4 linked regions of the Rattus norvegicus genome follow. The protein of the gene in region 3 purifies or fractionates together with the protein of the main gene of each other region. This does not show direct contact. Links are inferred from orthologs where the notes say so. Each region holds a gene or a part of one and is shown on either strand. Other genes may lie near its edges.

What was found.
Region 1: the proteins of Cct3 (region 3) and Tle2 purify together in Homo sapiens (affinity purification with mass spectrometry; 3 studies listed by BioGRID and IntAct, with this or other methods). This does not show direct contact. The link is inferred for Rattus norvegicus from reciprocal best matches to the Homo sapiens genes CCT3 and TLE2.
Region 2: the proteins of Cct3 (region 3) and Wrap53 purify together in Homo sapiens (co-immunoprecipitation; 3 studies listed by BioGRID and IntAct, with this or other methods). This does not show direct contact. The link is inferred for Rattus norvegicus from reciprocal best matches to the Homo sapiens genes CCT3 and WRAP53.
Region 4: the proteins of Cct3 (region 3) and Nedd1 purify together in Homo sapiens (affinity purification with mass spectrometry; 3 studies listed by BioGRID and IntAct, with this or other methods). This does not show direct contact. The link is inferred for Rattus norvegicus from reciprocal best matches to the Homo sapiens genes CCT3 and NEDD1.

The regions. Positions count from the first base shown.
Region 1 is NC_086025.1:8,779,494-8,783,009, reverse strand, and holds part of Tle2 (transducin-like enhancer protein 2), read left to right. Parts: intron 1-84; coding exon 85-147; intron 148-2,427; coding exon 2,428-2,502; intron 2,503-2,631; coding exon 2,632-2,815; intron 2,816-3,046; coding exon 3,047-3,066; intron 3,067-3,516.
Region 2 is NC_086028.1:54,780,652-54,784,167, forward strand, and holds the end of Wrap53 (telomerase Cajal body protein 1), read right to left. Parts: intron 2,412-3,516; exon of another isoform or gene 2,382-2,411; coding exon 2,293-2,381; intron 2,070-2,292; coding exon 1,979-2,069; intron 1,875-1,978; coding exon 1,742-1,874; intron 1,304-1,741; coding exon 1,095-1,303; intron 949-1,094; coding exon 845-948; intron 724-844; coding exon 586-723; intron 483-585; coding exon 242-482; 3' UTR 224-241; downstream 1-223. UniProt on the Homo sapiens protein: RNA chaperone that plays a key role in telomere maintenance and RNA localization to Cajal bodies. Specifically recognizes and binds the Cajal body box (CAB box) present in both small Cajal body RNAs (scaRNAs) and telomerase RNA template component (TERC).
Region 3 is NC_086020.1:176,062,377-176,066,338, forward strand, and holds the start of Cct3 (T-complex protein 1 subunit gamma), read left to right. Parts: upstream 1-1,152; 5' UTR 1,153-1,262; coding exon 1,263-1,293; intron 1,294-3,312; coding exon 3,313-3,374; intron 3,375-3,962. UniProt on the Homo sapiens protein: Component of the chaperonin-containing T-complex (TRiC), a molecular chaperone complex that assists the folding of actin, tubulin and other proteins upon ATP hydrolysis.
Region 4 is NC_086025.1:29,123,635-29,127,150, forward strand, and holds part of Nedd1 (protein NEDD1), read right to left. Parts: intron 2,277-3,516; coding exon 2,120-2,276; intron 1,352-2,119; coding exon 1,195-1,351; intron 548-1,194; exon of another isoform or gene 405-547; intron 1-404. UniProt on the Homo sapiens protein: Required for mitosis progression. Promotes the nucleation of microtubules from the spindle.

The sequences.
Region 1 (3,516 bases), on a different chromosome or scaffold from region 3:
AGTCCAGCTGGGGTCTGGATGATGGAGGTGGCTGTCCCCCTCCCAGCCCATCCAGCTTGCTGCAGCTTGTTACTTCTCTCTCAGGCTGAGATCGTGAAGCGCCTCAGTGCAATCTGTGCCCAGATGGTCCCATTCCTCACTCAGGAGGTAAGTGCATAGAGCCTTGGGGGCAGGGAGGGCGTCCCAGGCCTGGGGAGACACCGGCTGGGGTGAGGACCAGGGGACTTTCTGCCCTTCCTATGTTCATGTGTGCACTCATAACTAGGCCAGAAGTCAGCCTCAGTGTGCCTCCCGAGGTGCCATCCACCTTCATTTGCTTTTATTACACTTTTATGCACTTATTTAATTTTATATGTATGGGTGTTTTGTCTGCGTAGCTGTACACCATGTGTGCAGTACCCGCAGAGGCCGGAAGAGTGCACTGTGTCCTCTGGAATTGGAGTTGTGACGGCTTGTGAGCCAGGAATCGAACCCTGTTCCTTTGAGAGAGCAACCAGAGCTCTTAGCCACTGAGCCAACCTATAATTTATTTTTTGGGAGGAGGTACAAGGGCCATAGCACACATATGGAGGTCAGAGGTCAACTTGCAGGAACTGGCCCTCTCCTCTCACTCTGTGGCTTGTTGTTGGCTAGGCCACAATGCTTTCACATGCTCACACACCTTGCTATCCCGTCCTTTAACTAGGCAGGGACTCTGACTGGCCTGGAACTTTGCCAAGTTGGCAATGCTGTCCAGTCAGTGAGTCCCAGGATCTTCCTGTCTCCTCACAGGTGCTAGAATTATAGACACACACTACCATGCCTGGCTTTCTTCAGGGTTTCTGGAGAATCAAACTCAGGTCCCTATGCTTGCATGACAAGTACTTTACTGATTCAGCCATTTCTCTAAGCCTGGCTCTCTGCTCTCGATGGTGCTAGCTAGGGGTGCCCCTGTACCCATGGCTTACATCTTGTAGCCTCCTGCAGCCAGGGCTGCTGGTACAAGGCCTGGCTTTGTGCTCTTGGGCAAGATACATGCCTCTCTGTGCTTATGTCCTGGTTAGGGTATCCTGAGAGTTAGGTGAGCAATTATGGGACTAATCTTACAGGGTGATGCTTGGTGAGTTGGGCCACACACGGGACAATATGCAGGTTTCCTTTCCCAAGGACTCTGAAATTATCAGATCCAGGGCCAGGAAGTGGGGGGTTGGGAAGTTCCAGAGGTGGGTGGTGGGGAAGGCCACACAGCCCTGTGAATGAGTTTCATGTCACTGAGCCTGAGCCGGTCGTGTGCTTGAAATGGCTCTGATTAGCAAGTTTTGTTAGGCATTTTTAGGACAGTGATTTTGAAAACACAGAATCAGCACAGGCAGAGGCTAAACATCAGAAAACTTTGTGTGAGCAATTCCTCACTCCTGCTGACCACAGGACCTTGGTGTTAGCCATTCCCACTTCTATGTGATGTTCCTCCAGAGACACGGCAGGTCCCACCTCAGGGTGGGCATGCTGGGTGCCCCACATGGCCAGAATCCTCAGCTTTCTTCTGTGGGACCTGCTGCCTTTCCCCTGAGAGTGGGTGACAGATCATATCACAGTGAGGCCAGCTACCAACCTGAGTAGAGCCACCAGACATGTGTGTTCAAATTTATTGACTCCATCCATATTTAATGTTGTGCTGGGGATATACACGCTGGGTGGGTCTTCCCCTGACCTGTATGCCCAGCCCCAGGTTGCACATTCTGAGGTGGGTGCTTAGTATGTGGGTACTTGGCATGTAGGTACTTAGTATGTGGGTACTTGGCATGTAGGTGCTCGGTATGTGGGCACTTGGCATGTAGGTGCTTGGTATGTGAGCACTTGGCATGTAGGTGCTTGGTATGTGAGCACTTGGCATGTAGGTGCTTGGTATGTGAGCACTTGGCATGTAGGTGCTTGGAATGCAGGTATTTTATTTTGTATGTGAGTGGTTATTCATTACACTGTCTATGCGGACAGACCGTGGTGTTACATGGACCTCCTAGCAAGTGGTTAGAGGCTGGAACACTGCCCAGCAGCCTTCAGGGTCCAGTAAGCTCCACAAAGCACTGGAACTGTGGCCCCAGGGCCTGGGGAAGAGGCCAGGTCTCTGAACTGTCAGTTAAACAGTCAGAGAGGGGCTGGGGAAGGTGGCCCACAAGCATGAGGACCTGAGTTCAAATCTCCAGCAACCAGAAGAACCAACCAGGTGTGGTGTTTCTCCTCTGTAACTGCAGCAGGGGAGACAGGGACAGGAGATCCTGGGGTTACTGGACAGATTACAGCTGGGCCGGGAGACCCACCGCAAAATAAGGTGGGAGATGGCAGTAGCACCCGCCGTGTCTCCACACGCAGAGGCACACATAGACAGACAGACAAACAGACAGACTGCACGGCCTGCTGCTCAGTGCCTGCCTTCCGCTTCCCCACTAGCATCAGCAGCAGGTGCTCCAGGCTGTGGACCGAGCCAAGCAGGTGACCGTGGGGGAACTGAACAACCTCTTGGGGGTGAGTCACCCCAGCCCATAATTGGAGACACCCTGCTCCCAGCCCAGGCACCCAGTGGGTACAGCATTCACCCTCCGTGTACCCTGTCCCCGCCACCCGCCTCCCCCTGGCAATCCTCTCCCCCTTCAGCAGCAGAATCAGCTCCAGCCGCTGTCCCATGCACCCCCTGTGCCTCTCACCCCACGCCCAGCTGGCCTGGTGGGTGCCGGGGCCACTGGGCTGCTGGCCCTCTCTGGGGCGCTGGCTGCGCAGGCCCAGCTGGTGGCTGCTGTTAAGGAAGACCGTGTGGGTGTGGACACCGAGGGGTCCAGAGGTGAGTTAGCAACTCAGCGCTGGCGGGAGGGGGACAGCTAGTAGGGCTGCAGCTGTGGGGTTCGATTTTCATGCTGTTTGTCCTTGGGAACACACTAGCTGTCTCTGCAGAGGCATCTCCCTGGGATGTGGGAGGTCAGGCTCTGACCAGGAAGGAGCTGTTTCACTCGCCGAAGCCTTGCATGGTTACAAACCCCTAATCATGTTTCCTTCTGGCTTCCTGCGTCTGCAGTGGACAGAGCTGCCAGCAGGGTGAGTGCCAGCCATGAGAACTTGCTTGTCTTTAAGTAGGCTAGGGGACTGGGGGTGCTGCCTGTCCCCAGCCTTCACCACCTGGGCGCTGTGAGGACACCAGTGCCACCACATCCAGTGTACAGGGCCTGGTGAACGAGATGTGAGCTGTTACTTTATGAACAGGGCCTCACTCACAGAGATCCTCCTGCTTCTTGGATTGTGACATTAGAACCGCCAAGCCAGCTGTGGTGTATTTAATTTGAGGCATGGCCTTGTTTTATAGCCCATACTGCATTGAATTTAGGACAATTCTTCTGCCTCAGTGTCTTAAATTCTGCTATAATGGGTGTACGCCAGCAAGACCTGCTTGGCTCCTCATGCAGACAGACGTTTTGCTTAGCTGAGAGCTCCCATCCCCCACTCTCAAGGGGTTGGCCATGGATTTTCCGTGGATTACAGGTCTCTCTG
Region 2 (3,516 bases), on a different chromosome or scaffold from region 3:
GCCTAGCAACCACACAGTCAATGGCACGAGACCCCACCCCCACCTGCTTGACTTCACACCATGCTCAGCCCCTCATTGGCTCCTGCCTGGTCCCACCTCTCAGCCCCTGGTTTTGGGAACAATGTGCCAGACCCCACAGATGCTGGACAAAGGAACCTACTGCCGCCCCTACCAAACTCCCACCAGTCACGTGCCGCCCCAAACAGACACAATGACTCCAGTGTGATACAAAGTCTTTATATTAACTCATTCCGACAGCCTCTGTCCTTCCTTGTCCCTTCTCATCCTGGTCCTCATCAGGGTTACTGGGGTCAGGTCCCCCTCCACACCACCAGAGCTGTAGCTGACATTCAGGATGGGCGTGGCGCAGGGAGAGCAGGGGAAGGTCCAGCTCCGGCTCACCTTCATCCCCGCTATTGGTGGGCTCTGGAAACATGCGCTGGCCAGAAGCAGTGGCCAGCAGAGGCAAGGTAGGGTGAAGGCTGGAGAAGAGAGCAGTCTGTCAGCACCTAGGTCAGGACAATCCCCGAGAGATCCACCTTCCTCCCAAACCCTGGCCCCAAGCTCCTTCAGTGAACTGAGGACCTGACTCCATTGGTGCAGTCGTCCTGGGGCAGAAAAGTCATCACTGGCTCCAGCTGCTTGCAGTCACTGAACGCTCCACTGATGTCCCACACGGAGACAACTCCACTGGTGTTGCCACTCACTAGGAACTGCCCGCTCCTGGGAAAGAAGGAGACTTGTGCTACACTGGCACCGCCCGTGGGGTAGAGGCCATTCATATCCAGGTGCGGCAAGACTCTGACAGTCTTACTTGAGCCTGGGAGGGGCCACAACCACTTACGGGTCCAGATCAAAGTAGATGCGCTGATTGGTGGTCACTTCCCGACTCAGAGACCACAGGAGGTGGCCCGGCTGCCGGAGATCCCAGCACAGAAGTTCAGCATCCTGAGGACAAGAACAGGCGTCTGGAGTCAGCCTCTCCTCTGACTCCACCTCGGCCTCCCCGAATCCCTCGTACTTGGCACGTCTCAACACGTAACAAATGACATCCCACTCCTGACTACCCATGTGCTTTGGGCCCTGTCCAGTACCTTTCGGGCTCCTGAGAAGAAGAGGTTGCCATCAGGGTGAAAGCAAAGGTGGGTGATACCTCCTTGATGGCCCCCCAGCAAGGCAAGAGGTGAACCATCATCCCAGGCATACAGGCCCAGGGTGCGGCCATAGGAGCCACAGGCATAGAGGGGCTGGGCTGGACTAAAGGCTAGACAGGAGATGATGCCACTCTGGCCCTGCTTTTTGGCTGGGGAGAAAACAAGGAAACAGTTAGCACAGGACATTAACTAGCTACAGACCTCCACCTGCCCTGGACTGACGTGCGTACTGGGACTCATTCCCCCACTGACTGTCGAAAGCAATCTAAAGATCTCTAATGGTTCCCAGATCACTCAGTTCCCAAATGAACTTAGCATCCCTCTTCCCTCTCACACCCAACTTCTCCCTGGAAGGGATAGAGAACTAAAGGCCTACAGGGAACGGGACTCCCCTTCGCTTTCACCTTTCTAAAGTTCAGTGGTACAATGCTTGTCTAACACAAGAGCCTGAGGAGTCTCCTCCATGCTCGGAGGCTTCTGTCTCTCTGGAGCTGGCACGTGCCTCCCAGGTTCCCACAGGTGCCCCAGCTCACTCAAGGCCCCCTCCCAGGAAAGACTCTCTCATCTCCCCCACCTTGGAGGCTTACCAAATGTGGTTCGCACCTCACAGTCTCTGCCAGGCCTGGATGTGGAAAAGACACGCACAGTCCGGTTGAAGCCACAAAAGAGTTGGGAACCATCCGGGGAGAAACAGAGTGAGTGGGCCGCTGTCAACTCGTCCTAGGGGCAAGAGAGGGCTGGAAAAGGTCTGCAAAGCTTCAGTTCTCTTCCAGGAAGGAGGGCCAGGCCACAGGGAGCACAGTGCCGGGCAGGGGAGTCAGTACCAGGTGGTTGTAAGCGCGAAAGGAAGCCCGGAGTTCTCCAGTGAATGCATCCCAGATGTGAATTGGGTTCTCCCGGCTGCTGCTGGCCACACTAAGAGAAACACAGTCACTCAGACCTGGCTCTGACTGTCAAAGGGAAGCCAAGTGCCCAGCCCTCTCAGCTTCTGTCAGAAGGACACTCTTAGCACCTTCTCTCTCCTTTCCTCCCTCCCTCCCTCCTTCCTGGTAGCCCTTCTTGAAACTGGATGTGTGGGCTGGGTAAGGGGATGATGGGGACCACAGTGAAGTGCACAGTGAGAGACACTACCACTTACTAGGAGGTGTCTGGCTGGGTGGAGGACATCAGAGAATACCAGCAGTAATCATAGATGGTGTCACCCTCTACCATTCGCAGGACAGGAACCTGGACAGAGATGTGGGAACGCTGGAGTCACTGGCGGGGGAAAGCAGGCAAAAACTTGTACACTGCCTGAGGGGAGCTGCGACAGTGGGAGACTAACTTAGGAGGTAGGAGAAAGCAGGTGGGGCACAAAGAACAGAACCCTTACTGTTCTAGCATTCAACTCAGGCACTACTGTCAGGCCGGGCCACCAAAGGCAGCAGATTCAGAATTCTTTTAAACACTTGTGGAAGATACAAATAATACCCTAATCTAAAGACAAAGAACCAATCAGGGTCTGTGGCATTCTATCCCTTATAAAAATTACCAGGCCCTAGGGATTTAGCACAGCGGCAACATTGATTGCCTGCCACTCGCAAGGCCCTGAGTCCGATCGTCGGCAATGCAAAAATAAATAAAAGTGCAAAGCTGCAAGGACATCTGAAATACCATGCATGTGTGTGCTCAGACAGCACTGCACCATGTGGAAGCCAGAGGACGACCTCAAGTGATGAATAGGTTCTTTCCTTCCAGTGTATGGCTCTAGAAATCTAACATCTCTACCTGTAGCACCACCCCAGATATTTGCCCCCAGACAGGATTTCCTAGATCCCAGACTGGCCCTGAACTTCTTTTTTTTAATTTATTTATTCTATATAACTACACTGTCACTGTCTTCAGACACACCAGAGGAGGGCGTCAGATCTCTTTACAGATGGTTGTGAGCCACCATGTGGTTGCTGGGAATTGAACTCAGGACCTCTGGAAGAGCAGTCAGTGCTCTTAACCACTGAGCCATCTCTCCAGTACCTGGCCCTGAACTTCTGATCCTCCTGCCTCCACCTCCAGAGGACAGGGTCACAGGTGTGTGTCATCACAGCCTGTTTTGCCGGGAAAGGAACCAAGGGCTTTATGTTTGTGAGACAGGTTCTCTACTGAGCAGGCCGCATCCTCAGCAAACACACAAATGAACACTTAAAAAGCAAAGCGAGGGCTGTGGGCACACTGCAGTGGTAGAAGACCTGTCTGGCCAGCATGAGGCCCTTGGGTCAATCTTCTCTGCCACAAACAAGCAAGTACCTATGACCTTTCTATCCAGCGGTCTCTTGCCTGTAACCCCAGCATTTATTTGAACCCAAGACAGAAGGAACTGCTGTGA
Region 3 (3,962 bases):
TGACCCTTCAAGTCTTCTAAATGTTTAATTACTAGCCTTGTTTTTTGTTTTTTCCTATATGGAGTGATCTGGCAAGAGGGCTGTCTCCAGTTTGCGACCCGCCTGGGCTACACGAGTCTTGGGCCAGCCTTGGAACTCTAGTAAGATAATATGGTAATTTAAAAAACTACAGCTCCCTTTCCTTGGTCACTAACCAGTGATCAGGCTATGCAGTGGGGGGAAAAGGCTCAAAATTCTACAAGAAACACGACTTAGGATATTCGGGGTAAATGTAAGAGCTTCTCCTTTACGTCTTATTGCCTTAAGATTCAAAGTAATTTTTCTAAGACGTAAAACATTAGGACAGGAGAGATAGCTCAACAGTTAAGAGCACTAGATGGTCCCACAGAGGCCATGGGTTCACTTCCTAGCACCCACGTGGTCCCACGAGGTGGTTCACAATCATCAATTCCAGTTCCAGAGGATCAGACTCCCTCCTGATCTCCTCTCGCAAGTGGTGCACCTACATACGCATAGGCAAACCCACCATACACATAAAAATAAAAAAAAAAATAGGTACATCTAAAACACCAAGATTTTTCTTTTCTTTTCTTTTAAAGAAAAGCAGCGCGTCTAGAATAAACCACAACTCCCAGCATGCTCCGGGGTGGGGTGGGGGAGCCGTTGCGGCCCCGCCTCATAGGAAAACCTCCACTTCTACACCGCCTCAATATTTCTGGCAACTACCGGTATTTCCGGCTCCTGTGCTCCTCCCTACTGCTAAAGCTGGAATAAAAAGTGGCGAACTATTATGCCTTTCTTGGCCTTCACGGTCGGACGAGAACCGATGGACAAAATAGAGCTTCATGATCTCACCTACAGCATTAATCCAAAGCCTCAACCCCAGCACCCACCCTCTAGCGGGCACTCAAGCGCTGTAGCGAGCCAGCTAACCGCCCGTGCCTTGGCGCTTGCGCAGACATTCTGCCCGCACGCGGCCGGGAGCGGCCACGCTAGTGCGCAAGCGCTTGCGTCCCCCCACCCATCATGCTCTCTCTAGCTAGCTTGCCGTGCCTTTCTTGCGTAGAGGGCGGGGCTAATACCTACGATTGGCCTATGTTTATGCCAATCAATGAAATGGGCTTAGTGATTGGCGGTACTTCAGAGGTTAGCATGTTTCTGTGTCAGTCCTGAGGAGGCAGCGTTTCCTTCGCTGCTCTTCTCTCCAGAAGGTTCTGCCGATTTCCCCCAGCTCTGGAAAGTCGGCTCTTCGTCGTGCCGCCATGATGGGCCACCGTCCAGTGCTCGTGCTCAGTGAGTTCAGGGAAGCGATGGCTCCCTCCGCCCCTCTCTCCCCATGCTTGCCAGTGTTTCCCGGCCCCGTCCCGCCATGACTCGGCCCTCGTGCTTTCCAGTCGTCTTTTCGCCTTAGAACCTCCTTCCTTAGTTTTTCTCCTCCTGCCTTCTCCTGTCGCCCTCTTTTGACAAAATGACTTTCTGCTCTCGGAGTCGCTAGTTTTTAACGTGTGCTTTATCCCATTTGTGTTCCGTTCTTTAGTCGCCACCCTCCACGCCCCCGTGTCCTTTACAGCATGATTTCCGTCTGGTAGTTAGTAATAGTGGTTCTTAACGTTAGGCCTTGCTTCGTATCCTCGGTCCATCCCTTAGGAGAGGCGTGACTTACGGCAACTCGCTTGATTTATGCTTTAATAACAGTGTTTAGGAGACCGTAGTACTTCTCCAAAGAATTATGAGTTAAGTTGGTAAGTAAAGCTTCCTTTACCGGCAGATCGGAAATGGCATCTTTTCAGTAGCGGTCATTCAGCAACCCTTGTTCTGAAATGACATTCCTTGCGTTCCCGATCTTGAATGTGATCTTTCCCACCAGCCAGTTAAGTTCTCCCAGATTCCTCTCCTGTTTTCTTTAACTAACGCCTCTCATCTCAGTAAAGAGCACCAGTTCCTTGTCAGTTACCCGAGCTATTGAGAATAATTCAGTAAACCGGGTTCAAAGTTAAGACATACTAAAGAGAAAAACATGTAGTATGGCCACACTGAGAGGAGAGACAAAGGGGTTCAGTGACACTACCCCTCCTACCAACACTTAGATGAACGAATCTATGGGGTTTTAATTAGCAGACCAGAGGCATAAGGAGTCATCGTTTTCTGCTCTAGTCTCCTGAGAAAGTTTACCTACAGGCTGGCTCTCCAGGCATCAACATCCCCTGGAACTGGAGTTATGGGCTGTTGTGACCACCATGGGGGGCTGGGAATTGAAGCTGAACCATCTTTCCAGCCTCACAAGCACACTTTCTTGGTCACTAATCTTTGAGACTCTGTAGCTCCTAATCCCACGGAGGTTGTAAGGGATGTGCACTCTGGGAAAAATCACCATCCTGCTGAGCCCCATTCAGGGACCTAAAGATATGAATCGCTGGAAGTGTGTGAGCATGCATACAAGGAAAGTATTGGTCAAGATTCTGAAGTTAAAGCATTTCAGGTTATCTCTTAATGTACTGGGGCTTCTCTTCATTCTGTGTGTCTTTTGCCTGCATGTATGTCAGTGTCTGCAGACACCAGAAGAGGACATCAGATCCCCTGGAAGTGTAGTTATAGATGGTTGTGAGCTTCCATGTTGATGCTGAAATAGAACCAGAGTTCTCTGCAAGAGCTTCCAATGCTTTTAACTACAGGGCCATCTCTCCAGCCCCTAAAGGTGCTTTTTGAGACAGGATCTCACTTTGTAACTCTGACTGGCCTGGAACTTTATAGACCGAGTTGAGTTGGTTCAGAAATTCATCTGCATCTCCAGTGCTCAGATTAAAGGCATATGCTACCATGCCCAGTCTTAAACCATTGTAATTGTAACTGCTGGTTATACACTGAAACCTTTGTATTTTTGTTTTCAAAACTTGATAAATAAGGTTGGTGGTAGGATCCCTAAGCAGGTTTAAAAAGAAAAAAAGCACCAAGCCTAATAATAACTGGAGGTCTTTTTATTATGGTTTGTTTGTTTCGTTTGAGACAGGTTCTCTATGTAAACCAGGCTGGCTTCCAAGTCACAGAGATCCTCCTGACTCTGCCTTATAAGTGCTGGGGTCAGAGACATGCGCCACCATACCTGACTTAGATGACCAAGTTTAATCCCTGGCACTTATATGATAGAAAGAGAATTTAGTCCTGAAAGTTGTCTTCTGACCTCCAAAGTTGTGCTACGCATTGTACACTTGATATGTACATATATACATTAAAAAATGTAAACATTTTCTTTAAGTTAGGAAATAAAATGATTGTGTACACTGGGCTATTGACACGTGTTTTTGTCTGTTTTAGGTCAGAATACAAAGCGTGAGTCTGGAAGAAAAGTTCAATCTGGAAATATCAATGCTGCAAAGGTAACACATGTTTTAAGTGATAATAGCAGTTCATTCTGGATGACTCCCTAATATTTCAAATATTACAAATCTTCATTATTTGTAATAGCAAACTTCCTATGGTTCTGTACAGTTGAACAGAGGAAAACGCATGTTTCCCTGACAGTGATACAGGAAGGGAGGTTTTTAAAGATTTACTTATTTATTCATTGTTTGAGTGTTTTGCCTCCAAGTATGTGTACGTGTACCATGTGCATGCCTGATGCACAAGAAGCCTAGAAGAGGTTGTCAGATCCCCCTGGAACTGGAGTTCCAGGCTGTTATGAAAGTTACTATGTGAGTGGTAGGACTTCTGAAAGAGCCTAGGTCCTCTGAAAGAACCCTGTCCCCTCTTTGGAGACAGGATCTTGTCGGGGTTGCCTAGAATTTTCTATGCACGCCAGACTATCTTTGGACTCAGATCTGCTTGCCTTTGTCTCCCAAATCCTGGAACTAAAATCATGTGCCAGCACACTTTCAAACTCATAAATATATTTTTAAGTGAATGATTGAAAGACTTGATTTCATGTGGCTTAGAGACCACTGTCAGTAAAAATATTAAGGCTGGAC
Region 4 (3,516 bases), on a different chromosome or scaffold from region 3:
ACACACACACACACACACACACACACACACACACACACACACACACACACGTCCTTCCAGGATATGATGTACTTATTCTAAAGAAACTATGGCCACCGTGGGAAGATTCCCACTTCTGCATTAATATCTGATACATATAAACTAGGTACACCAGAATTACCAAAAAGATGATCTTTCAAAGAGAGAATCTCTAATACTTAAAATGTATTTTAAATATTTTAAACATTAAAAAATTTGCACCAGTTAAAAACTATACATCTTCAATTTTCTTCTCATTAAAATCCCAGTAATTATAAGTTAGAAGGGGGGGGGATCTCATAAAACAGTTAGCAACTGAAAATAACTTCTAAGGCCTGAAATAGCCATGAAAATGAAGTGGTGATGTTCTAGAACATGTTAACATTTTTTGTTTGATTCTGAAAATTTCAGAGAATATACAGATAATCTCAATATCTTAATATTCTCTGAGTGAAAAAAATCTATTTTAATTTATGATGACCTAAAATCCTAGTGCCATACCTAAAGGCAACAGGAGGAACAGTCATCAAACAGAACTTTATAATGAAAATTCAAATGATAGAAAGAACAAAGTCAAGTTACAGAAAGATTCACACACACACACACACACACACACACACACACCTGTAAGATCCTGAAGTCACCCATGTAAAACCATTTAGAAGTACATTTAAAGGTGCCTTTCGGGCCTGGTGAGGGGCTGCACTGGCTACAGGCACTCGCTGCCAAGCCTGAAGACTGAAATTTCATCGCCAGAACCCAGACAGCAGCAGAACTGACGCTGCAATCTGACCCCAACCTCCACGTGGGTGCAGAGGCAAATACTCCCTGCCCTACTCCCACACAAAATATACAACAAGCACAAAAGGTCTGTTTCCCACGTGCCCTGCTGTAGAGCACTTAAAGGTGGTCTTTAAGTACTGGATGTGAGAGGACATTTGAGTATGTAAACATCTGCCCACATGTGAAGACTCAGAATCCACAAGGTCATGCTGCACACCAGACTGCAGGCTTGGCAATGCGCCTTTCCACAGTACACAAAGATCAAAACTCATGTTTTCCGTTTTTGTGGTCATCATAACCTAGACACGTGTGAGTTACCAAGATGAGCTCTGGCTCTGGTTTCACCCAGGTAGAGACAAACTGAGTGACTGAGGTGAGCAGTCTCAGTGCTACCTGAAGTCATCCAGGGTTTCTTGTATCATGTTCTGAATGAAGCGGATCTGGACAGAGGTAAGTGGCGCGGCCGGCCGACTGTTCCCAAGGGTGTCGACTATTTTTTCTGAGAGTGAACTGGCTACTCCAGCAGTGACGGAGGAGGCTGCCTTTGGTACTAGAACAAATGGAGAAAATATTGATAGTTAGCTTGGACTAAAAGACATCAAGCATTTCTAAATAAGATTTGGTAAAGAAAGACTTGGGAAACTGCAAAAAGAACAGTGTTCCTATGACATTTAGAAAAACCCACTGTCTGGAGTCCAAATTTTAGAAACTTTCTATGACATTATTTCTAACAGTCATTTATCTGTATATATAAACTGCCAACTGTCTAATGTCGTAACACATGACAGAGGGATTAATCTTGAAGAATCCCTGAACCATTTTCCCTTATAAAAGATGTCTGTGACAAGTTGCAGCACAAACCAGATAAACCAGGACGACTGAAAACAAACAGGAGGGACGCAGGCTTGAAGCAGCGCCACTGGCAAAGCCTCTCTTAGACATCTTCTCTTAGAGGCCAGCTGAGCTCCCTTAAATGCAACTGGGTCTTATGTGTCTACAGCATAAACTCTAACTATAAAACCTAATACAAATTTTCTACAGAATTCAAGCCCTTCCAAAAAGCCTTTCTTCATTATGCACGCGGAGTTAAACCAAGCCCTTGTATATTAGACTGAGAGAGAGGCTCATGTCAAACGATGAAATCAGGGTTGATGGATTTAACAAACTCTCGTGCCTTCTAACAAGAAGCTCAGCGGTCTATAACGCATTCCTTTGGTGTTATCTGGCCCATGGTTGTTCTGTTCATCCCTTAAAAGCAGAAAAGCCAGGGACCTTTCCAACTGCACATTTCAAACCTGAGGCCCTTCACTGTGCTTACCTGGGGTTGAGGGTCCATTGACTGAGGGTTCGTGCATCAACTGGACTTCAATATCTTTTTCTGGCTTTTCAAACTTTTCAAGATTTCTTGCTTGGTTAGATGATGGACAGGTGTTTAGAATTCCAGGTTCAGCACCAGAGGAGATCAACTTTGTAAACTTGTATTTAAAACAAACAGTCACTTTAATATGCCATTTCTTTTTTTTTTTATTCATTTATTATATATGAGTACACTGTAGCTGTCTTCAGACACACCAGAAGAGGGCATCAGATCTCTTTACAGATGGTTGTGAGCCACCATGTGGTTGCTGGGAATTGAACTCAGGACCTCAGGAAGAGCAGTCAGTGCTCTTAACCACTGAGCCATCTCTCCAGCCCTAATATGCCATTTCTTATTTTATCCTATTACCCACAAACTTTGTATCTGGTTCTCACTGCTCTCCCCACAGGCAGGGTCAGGAAAATGAGAGACAGAGAGAGACTGAGAAGAAGCCAGTGCTAGCAGCACAGCAAGCATGTTAATCAAAATGTGCATTTTACAACAAGCTAATCTACTAAGCACTTGCTGACTACACACGATAATGCAAATCCCTGGGAGAAGAAGGAGGGGAGAGAAGAGAACTCTGGCCTTTCATGTAGTATCTAGATGGAAATACTGCAAACTAAAGACATTTTTTGTACTTCTGGCTTGATTCTCTTTTGTCTTGTACTTTTAAGTGTAAATAAGAAAAAAAACACAGCTATTTGAATACCTATAGGTTGACCTTCCTATAACCTGAGACCCAAGGTGCTAATACTTTAGTCATTCTTAGCACCCTCAGATTTGCTCTACCACTAAGAACCACTTGATCACCAGCTTGCTTTAGGCTGCAGTAGAAATATGTTTTAAAAGAATCTCACATACATTCCCCCAACCCCCACCCTCCCACACACATATCTCCTTTCTTTTACGTCTCCTTAAGAAATCAGGATTTTACTCAGGCAGACCCAGTGAACTGAAAAATATGCATAAAAACACATCCACCAGTATTTTAGCTTTACTTTTCAGAAGTAAGAATTAATTGGAAATTTCTTTTCTTCAATAAGAATGAAGAACGCACACAGATATAGGGTGATAATATACATTATTTTAATTTGATTTTTCTCTATTTAAACATGAGGTTCAGTCTTTCCCTTGCCTTCATGAGAATAAAAATTATTTCTCCTCAAAAAAAAAAAAAAATTCAGTTATAAGGTATTCTCTTGCAGATATGTGGTTATCTGTAGCCCAGACAAGGTTTGACAGGTTTCAGAACTGTTCTTCAGTTATTAAAAACTGGCATCAAGATTTAAACCTATGTTCCTGCCTAGTAAGTACACAGCATTAATAATTAAGACACAGATACTGGCGGCCGCCCT